Linked DNA regions of Ovis aries. Each later gene encodes a partner of the first gene's protein in a complex. Links are inferred from orthologs where the notes say so. Each region holds a gene or a part of one and is shown in the gene's direction. Other genes may lie near its edges.

The links.
Region 2: the proteins of ELANE (region 1) and antileukoproteinase-like are in contact, whole or in part, in a crystal structure (PDB 2Z7F), measured with the Homo sapiens proteins. The link is inferred for Ovis aries from reciprocal best matches to the Homo sapiens genes ELANE and SLPI. Residues at the interface, in NP_001963.1 of Homo sapiens: His53, Phe54, Cys55, His70, Cys71, Asn74, Val75, Pro111, Val112, Asn113, Leu114, Leu158, Ile165, Leu180, Arg182, Val197, Cys198, Phe199, Gly200, Asp201, Ser202, Ala216, Ser217, Phe218, Val219, Arg220, Gly221; in NP_003055.1 of Homo sapiens: Tyr93, Gly94, Gln95, Cys96, Leu97, Met98, Leu99, Pro102, Phe104, Met121, Cys122.

Annotation. Positions count from the first base shown.
Region 1 is NC_056058.1:41,085,981-41,090,376, forward strand, and holds ELANE (neutrophil elastase), read left to right. Parts: upstream 1-1,591; 5' UTR 1,592-1,617; coding exon 1,618-1,684; intron 1,685-1,992; coding exon 1,993-2,149; intron 2,150-2,336; coding exon 2,337-2,478; intron 2,479-3,290; coding exon 3,291-3,521; intron 3,522-3,676; coding exon 3,677-3,883; 3' UTR 3,884-3,988; downstream 3,989-4,396. UniProt on the Homo sapiens protein: Serine protease that modifies the functions of natural killer cells, monocytes and granulocytes. Inhibits C5a-dependent neutrophil enzyme release and chemotaxis. Promotes cleavage of GSDMB, thereby inhibiting pyroptosis. Promotes blood coagulation.
Region 2 is NC_056066.1:73,486,975-73,491,486, forward strand, and holds antileukoproteinase-like, read left to right. Parts: upstream 1-1,487; 5' UTR 1,488-1,620; coding exon 1,621-1,735; intron 1,736-2,578; coding exon 2,579-2,740; intron 2,741-3,161; coding exon 3,162-3,305; intron 3,306-4,062; coding exon 4,063-4,091; 3' UTR 4,092-4,319; downstream 4,320-4,512.

The DNA of each region.
Region 1 (4,396 bases):
ACAGCAGATGCTTACCAAGTGCTCTATGGTAGCTTTAACTCAACAAAGTGGGGAGCCTGCCAAGAGGGAAGAGATGGGGGTTGACTTGCCTATGGCCACACACCAGGGGTGAGGGGACCCAGGGACAAACTGGACTCCCATCCCAGCTGGGCTCTGGGTGTCCCTGGGTGCCCCCGCCCACCTCTTCCTCAGATGGATCCGTTGGTTCCCGCCCCAAGCCTTGCTCCAAGCCAGGAGAACGTTGCTTCTTGCGACAGCCTTGGCTACAGCCGTTGCAGCTGGAGCAGCTGGGGTGAGGAGTTGGGTGGGGGGAGGAGAACGGGCACCATGGGGCTGGGGATTGGCCCTGGGGGACTCTATCTCCCTTGTCCAGCTTGAGCTCTTCCAAGGTCCATACCAAAGCTCTCAAACTTGGATGGAGATCCATGGTCCAGCCTCCAGGCCCAGGAGGGAATTCTCTCCTCTGGCTCCGGCTGGAAGGGGTTTCAGAGTTCAGAGGGGCAAGGGTGGGATGGTTTGGGAGGGGTTCCTTCCCAGAACCTCGGAGGGCCCCCAGAGACTGACTGAATCCTGGGTAGGAGTGAGTTCCTTGTTAGAAGGAGCAACCAAAGACAGGTTGGAAGTCCAGGCTCCCAGAGGGACATTCAAAGCCGAGGAAGTCAGCAAGCCCTCCTCTAGCTGTGAATTTTGGATTCAAAGCCCAGGTCCCCCAACCATGTCACTGGGCAGGTGGCTGATATGGAGACCCTGCCATGCCTGCAAAATATTAGGACAGAGCTGGGTGCACATGATTGCTGTTATCAGAGAGCCCTGGTGAAACTGAGGCACGTGGCATCCCAAACAATTCCTCTGGGCCAGAGTGACCAGTATTCTTGCCTGGAGAATCCCATGGACAGAGGAGCCTGGCAGGCTACAGTCCATGGGGTCGCCAAGAGTTGGACACAACTGAGCAACTTAGCATGCATGCATGTATGACCACATTTAGCAAAAATACAGGATGTCCTGCTAACTCTGAATGTCAGATAAACTAACTTTGTACATAACTACATGTAAGGAATATTGGCTTCCCTAGTGGCTCAGGTTGTAAAGAATTTGCCTGCAGTGCAGGAGACCCAGGTTCGATCCCTGAGTCAGGAAGATCCCCTGGAGAAGGAAATGGCAACCCTCTCCAGGATTATTGCCTGGAAAATTCCAGGGACAGAGGAGCCTGGGGGGCTATAGTTCATGGGATTGCAGAGTCAGACACAACTGTGCGACTAACTTTCACTTCACTTACACAGGACACCCTGCTAACTTTGAATGTTGGATAAACTTTGTTCATAACTACATCCCATGCTTATATGTGGGATACACTTATGTTAAAAAGATGTCTATCTGACATTAGGGTTTAATCATGCACCCTGAGTTTGAACTGGTGACCCTCCTGGTCACTTGCACAGTTCCTTCCCCAACTGTTCTTCCCATCACCCAGTCGGCGGTCCCCCATCCCCTGGATGGGGAGAGGAAGTAGGGGCACCTGGCCCCGCCGTGGGGCAACTGCAACTGCCTCTCGGTGTGGGGACTATAAGAGGGACAGGTGGGCACAGAGGGCAGAAACCCTGGAGCCCCCAACCGACCATGACCCAAAGCTGCAGACACTTCAGCCCTGCCCTGGCCCCCATCCTGCTGGCCCTGCTGCTGGGGGGTGAGTGGGGTCGAGTCTGTCCCTGGTCTTCTGCTCCCCCTCTCCACTCACCCTGGACCCTGCCGCACCCCCCAACCTCATGGGATGAGGAGACTGAGGTTCTGAGTGGTGAGGGTGAAGGGGGGGTACACCCTGCACCCTGTGGGGACTTCAGGTCTGGCTGCGCCGGGGCAGGAGGACCGTACACGCCCCCTCCCCTCTCTGGGTGACAAGCAATAGAAGGGCCCAACCCTGCGGGGTCCTGCTGGGGGTTCCAGGGGTCGGGGGTTCCTCCTCTGCTTACCGCCCCACCCCGCCCGTGCCCCCAGGCCCCGCGCTGGCCTCGGAGATCGTGGGGGGCCGGGCGGCCCGGCCGCACGCCTGGCCCTTCATAGCTTCGCTGCAGCTGCGCGGAGGCCACTTCTGCGGTGCCACCCTCATCGCGCGCAACTTCGTGCTGTCGGCAGCGCATTGTCTGAACGGCGTGTGAGTGTCTCCGCGGGCGCACACATCGAGGGTCCCTGCGCGAGGGGCGTGGGGCCGGCCCAGGGTGGGGGCTTCCGGCAAAAGCGCGAGGGTTTGCAGGGTCCCCCTGCGCCCCAGCGGGGTCTCTCCGCCGCTTCCGATCCCGGGGACCCCCCCCCCATCACCTCCTGTCCGCCCGCGACCCCAGGAACTTTCGATCGGTGCGCGTGGTGCTGGGGGCGCATAATCTGCGGCGGCGGGAGCGAACCCGGCAGATGTTCAGGGTCCAGAGGGTCTTTGAAAACGGCTTCGACCCCTTGAACCTGCAGAACGACGTCGTGGTTCTCCAGGTGCGCGGGGGGCAGGGCGGGCAGGGCAGGTGCAGCGTCCTGAGAGGCTTGGGGAGGGGGGAGGGGCAGGAGACTGGGGGGTGCGGCGGGCGGGGGGCAGACCTGATGTCCCCCCTAATCCTGGTGCTTTAGTCACCCCGCTGTGAAATGGAGAAGTACACCCCCGCATCCCGCAGCGCTGCCAGAGATTAGATAAGACAGCCAGAAGCTCTGAGCAGCTGTCTTTCCTGGCAGTGGGCACTGACGGCCTCCCTCTTTGGGAAATGGGGCAAAACTACCTACATTCGGCGGGTGGGAGTCTGGAGGCAGAAACCTACCTTTCCCCTCTGCTTGCACAGCTATGATTATTCTCTGAGAATGTTCTAGAACAAGGGCTTTATGGTCGTTGGTGTAGCCCACGGTATGTTCTGTTGGACACCTACTGTTTACTGCACTCAAGACACATTCAGGGACTTCCCTGGTGGTCCAGGGGCTAAGACTCTGCACTCCCAAATTCAGGGGACCCAGGTTCAATCCCTGGTTGGGAAACTAGATCCCGCATGCTGCAACTAAGACCCCATGCAGCCAAACAAATAAATAAATAAATATAAAAGACATGTCCAGAGACGTGGCCTCAGCCATAGTGGTTCCTTCCACTTTACAGACGGGGAAAGTGAGGCTCGATGGGAGGCATGAAGAGGGTGCGCATCCTGCTCTTAAACACCCCAGGACAATGGTAGAGCCTCAGCAGGGGAACCTGGCCCCAGAGTCACAGCCGTGGCTCGCCACCCCTCTCCCGTGACTGCTTCATACCCCACCACCCTCCTCTGCAGCTCAACAGGATGGCCACCCTCAACGCCAACGTGCAGGTGGCCCAGTTGCCTGCCCAGGACCAGGGCGTGGGCGAAGGTGTGCAGTGCGTGGCCATGGGCTGGGGCCGGCTGGGCACGAACCGGCCACCGCCCCAAATCCTGCAGCAGCTCAACGTGACCGTGGTGACTGGTCTCTGCCGCCCCACCAACGTGTGCACCCTGGTGCCACGCCGGCGTGCTGGCATCTGCTTTGTAAGTACCCTGGGTGCCCCCAGACCCCACCCCACCCCCTCCCAGGCTGCTGCAGCCAGACCTCTGGAATATCTTCCCCACCCTGAAGGGCAGGTAGGTGGAGCTGAGAGGGCTGGGCCGGGAACCCTAGCCCCCCAATTTGTCTGGCTCCACAGGGGGACTCCGGCGGGCCCCTGGTCTGCAACGGGCTGGTCCATGGGATCGATTCCTTCATCCGTGGGGGTTGCGGCTCCGGGGTCTTCCCAGACTCCTTTGCCTCTGTTGCCAAGTTTGCCAACTGGATCAACTCTATCATCCGGCGCTACAATGACGACGATGGCCCCTCTCTCCACCCCAGGGACCCCACGGGCAGGACCGACTAGAAAGGCTGTACCTGTCATGCCCCCTCACCTGCCCCTGGCTGGGCCCTTCCCATGAAGCATCACTCAGCAGCTGGCACAATAAAAACCTCTCTCTGTTTTGTAGAAGGTGTCTGTGTGTTTGTTGGTTGTACAACTGAGTTGAAAAGTCCTCAGGAGAAGGTCTTGGGTGTGTCATGAGTATGCTGCCACCAGGTGGTGGCTGATTCAGGGCCCTGGGGTAAGAAGTCCCTTCCCTACCTTCCACAAAAGGATCCCAGTTGCTATTTCTTGGATGGAGGAGCCTGGTAGGCTGCAGTCCATGGGGTCACTAGGAGTCGGACACAACTGACAGATTTCACTTTCTCTTTTCCCTTTCATGCACTGGAGAAGGAAATTGCAACCCACTCCAGTGTTCTTGCCTGGAGAATCCCAGGGACGGGAGAGCCGGGTGGGCTGCGGTCTATGGAGTCGCACAGAGTCGGACACGACTGAAGTGACTTAGCAGCAGCAGCAAACATAATTAAACCAGTGCTG
Region 2 (4,512 bases), on another chromosome or scaffold:
TGACCCTCTCCAATCTGGTCTGGTAGTTCCGTTTTTTTTCTTTTTTCTTTTTTTCTTTTTGAAGTAGCAAATGTGCAATGCTTTCTTAAAATTTTTGTGTCGATGTAGAGTTGATATAAAATATTATATGTTACAGGCATATTATATAGTGACTGACATTTTAAGGGTTATACTCCATTTATAGTTATAGTAAAATATTGGCTCTATCCCTCAGGTTGTGCAATATATCCTTGCAGCTTATTTTATACATAATAGTTTGTACCTCTTAGTCCCCCTGGGTTTCCTGGTGGCACTAATGGCAAAGAATTTGCCTGCCCTTGCAGGAGATGAAAGAGACACAGATTTGATTCCTGGGTTGGGAAGATCCTTTGAACAAGGGTATGGCAACCCACTCCCATATTCTTGCCTGGAGAATCCTATAGATAGATGGAGCCTAGCGGGCTACAGTCTACAGGTTACAAAGAGTCAGACACAACTGAAATGACTTAGCACGCACACTTAGTCCCCTACCCCTGTATTGTCCCTCCCAGCTTCCTTCTCCCCACATAACCTCTAGTTTGTTCTGGCACTCAGGTCTCACTCTGGGATTTTCTGTCACCATCATCATGAGGACTCTCTTATTTTCCTTTCCTACATTCTACTTTGTGTATTTCATGCATTTTTTTTCTTGGTTTCACCTTAAGAGGATTTCTTTTGCTATTTAGAATTGTTTAAACTTCTCATCATGTAGCCAGTGTACAATAAATGTCCATTATGATCATGCAAGACCAGTGAGGATGACTCTGGGGTGTGAGAGGATTTTTTTGAGCATATGAAATGACATACCTGTTTCAACTGGCTCTTCAACTGACTGCTAAGAAGAGCCCCATCGGTTTATCTCAGGAAACAGGGCTCCAACGTGATTGACTTTGCATCAGTCTCACTCCCATTCTGCTAACAGGTAGTGTGTTCATTCTTCTTCAACTTCCTTCCACTCTTTTGAACTCAAGTTCCCCCTCTGTGATCTAGTCCGTTACTATTATCCCGACTTCACAACTGAGAAAGCTGAAGACCCAAGAGGTTTTCCTTGCTGTCCCCTCTCCACCTGTCATTCAGCAGATTCTCTGTGTGACTGGCACTGCAATTATATGTGGTAGTAAGCCAGGAGAGAATGAGAAAAAATGTCACCTGCCTTTTAGGGAAGGGAGTGACCCTGGGTAATGTGGTAACAAATGTGGCAATCCTCCAGAGCCCTGGAGTGTGGGAAAGTCATGGCATTTTCAGAGACCATGGTTCCAGATTTCTAACAAGTTCCTTTGTAATGTCCCGTTTGGCCCTCTTTGCCCCTCCCCGACTCCTCCCCAAGGAGGGTGATTCAGGGTCCCCTAACATGTTCCCAAGCGGCTTTCTGACACCACCCCCTCCAAGTCCTTCATTCCCCTTCCTAGTCCTCACGCTCTTGCCTAAGGGCAGGAAAGAGCCAGCAACACTGGATGGCGTGGTCACTGTCCTCACCTGAATTTCCTGCTGAGGAAATAGCAGCTGAGAGAACTCAGGGCAGTTCCGGTGGGAGCACACCCATCAGAGCGGGTATAAAGGGTGAGGCTGACACTGGTCACCACCGCCCCGCCTGCCCTCAAGATGAAGTCCAGCAGCCTTATCATCCTCCTGGTGATATTTGCCTTCGGATTCCTGATGCCCTGGACTGTGGAAGGTGCTCCCAAACGTGAGCTGGACTTTCTCAGGCCATACCCAGGTACCAAAGTCAATGATGGCTCAGCGTGGGAATAATCTCTTCTTTTTCGCCTGGGGGCTGGTCTTGAAGCCCTCTTTCCAATGGCCTATGGTCCTTAATTTCAAGCATGTCTCTGAGGACTTCAACTAAGAGAGTTTCTGTGCATCCAGAGATAAGCCCTTGTATTTCTTATTTTTCTTTCTCTATATCTCCTTCTTTACTGTTTTTTCTTTTTTCTCTGTCACATTATTTTGGTCACTATCTGTTTTAATTTTCCAAATTGTTCTCTGTTTCTCTTAATTTTGTTGTTGTTGTTGTTAATGGTCACTATTTTTTTCTATTTGCTTCTCAGTTGATCTGTTCTCTTTTGTTTAATCTCAAATGAGTGGCCTCTCTTGCTGTCACTGTCTCTGCCTCCCTCCCAGCCAGCCCTGGGCCAGGGATACCTGGCCATGAACTCTGTTCAGCCCTCCCTGGAGCTGACTTATACAGACATGCCGTAGCTGACTGTGAAATCTTCAAGACTTCTGTGAGGTAGTAGATGTCACATTGGTAGCTTGAAATAAGGAACAGTGGGAATATTTACACCAGGGAAACTGGCAAACTCCACAAAGTCTCCCTCTTGAAAGATTTAGTGGCACACCGCCATCTATACCTTCTCTCCCGTTGACTCCCTCTTGGTTGAGGGTTTGGCTGAGCTTGCCACTGTCCCACATCGGCCTTGAAACTGGAATCCTAATGGCTCCCTTCATTCCTTTGAGGTCAGCTACTTGGGTTAGGCTTTCTCTCCTCACCTGGTTCCTTCTGGAGGATTGTGATCTTGACTCAGTGCCAGCTTCTTCCTCCTTTGTTCTTACCCTTCAGAAAAAGGCAAACCTGGAGCCTGTCCTTTCGTCCGCCCTGTGCTGTGCTTTGTATATGAACCGCCTGAGTGCCAGAGTGACTGGCAGTGTCCGAAGAGGCAGAAATGCTGCCAGGGTCTTTGTGGCATCAAATGCACGGATCCTGTAGACACGTCAAAGCCAGGTGAGGAAGTCCAGTCCTGGAAAGGGGGATCAGGGAGGTCTGAGCTTGAGGACATGCTTCTTGGGCAAGTGGAGGGGGCTCGTCTGAACTGGGGTGCAGGATGGGATAGAGTCAGGGCTTCTCCACCCCTTCTACCCGCTCTGTTTTCTCAGGTAGACAGTAGGCCAGCTGGTGAGCCTGTCAGCCAGCAGGTCAGTCAGTTCATGAATAGTCTGTCTATCAGACACACGTATGTCAGACACTAGTTGGGGTCCCGTTGGTGGGAGGGAGTCTTCTTTAGGACACGCACCAGCCTCAGATTGGATCCTGAAGGTAGGGAAGAACCAGTTTCCACGCATGGGGTGAAGATGGAGTTGGGAATTTGGGTGATGTGCCAAGGGGCGAAGCCTCTGAATTGTGACTTTGTTTTCATCACTTAAAGTCACTCCTGGGAAGTGTCCGGTGGTCACTGGCCACTGTGAGAGGCCCAACCCTGTAAACATCTGCCAGGATGACAGCCACTGCCTGAATGGTTTCAAGTGCTGCAGGGGTCCGTGTGGGAATTCATGTGTCCTGCCGGTGAAAGGTGAGGAGAAGATCTAGCAAGCTCCGCATCCCCCTGGACCTTAATATGCTCTCAACCTAATGGTACCTTTGTATGTGAAAGAGGTTGCTTGACATCTTCCAGTACTTCCCCATTCCCTAAGCAGATGCTCTGCGCTTCAGTGACCTTTACCCCTTAGATTTCTCTAGACAAGTCCCAGGAGGCACCTATGACAGGCCGTGCTGGGTCCTAGGAAGGAAAGCTTCTTGGAATAAGGCAGGAGGAAGGAGAGTGATACAAGAGGCAAAAGTTCTATCTTTGAATATCATCTCTGCCTCTGACTGACTATGTGACTATGAGCAACTGACTATTTCATCCTCCACCTCAGTTTCCCCATCTGTAAAATGGACACAATTATATCCATAGCGATACTAAATGTAAAAGTGATTTTTAAGACTTGAAGTACTATTTGCATTCAGAGAATTTTGCTATGGTTATGGCCTCGATTGGCTGAGTTATCTTGAACCACAGGGGAACTCTAGCAAGATGCATAGATGTCAATCTAGCCCAATACCCTGATTTTATCAGAGGGCATCAGAGAAGAGCCTGTGAAAAGCCTGGATTTTGTCTTGATTCCTACATCAAAGGCCAGCACTGTTTCAATGATTCCAGCACAATGCTCTCTACCTATCCCAAGGGACCTAGGACTTGGTGGTGGAAGGACCATCTTGGTGGGACAGATATAAGGGTCACTTAAATAATTCCTGTGCTGAAGCTCCACTTTATTTTCTTTCTACAGATTCATCCTTTCCAGGTCAAAAACATTAGGACTTCCTGGTCTGTGTGCTCTGGGGATTCCCCCTACTCCCCACCCTGCAAGCCTGGAAAACAATGAAAGCACCTTGGTCAAGATGTGGTTTTGTGACCAATACTCCTTTGGGGACAAGATCTGGCCTGTTTTATCTATGTATCCCCAGCATCCAATGTGAAGCTTGGCACACGACAGGAAATGCCTATTGATCAGTGAATAAATAAATGTACTAGGTTTTCTCTGCATTTCCATCTTCCTTGACTCTTTTGAATGTGGACTAGGGTATGAGGAGTGAGATGAAGAATAAAATGTCTGAATGTGCGGGGTTTCTCCAAAAACCCATAAAATAGCAATCGGAAGAAGAGAGTGTTTTGGTTCCAAGCAGATACAGGTTTAAATCTTACATTCATAGATTACAGGTTCTGTAGATTTGGGCAA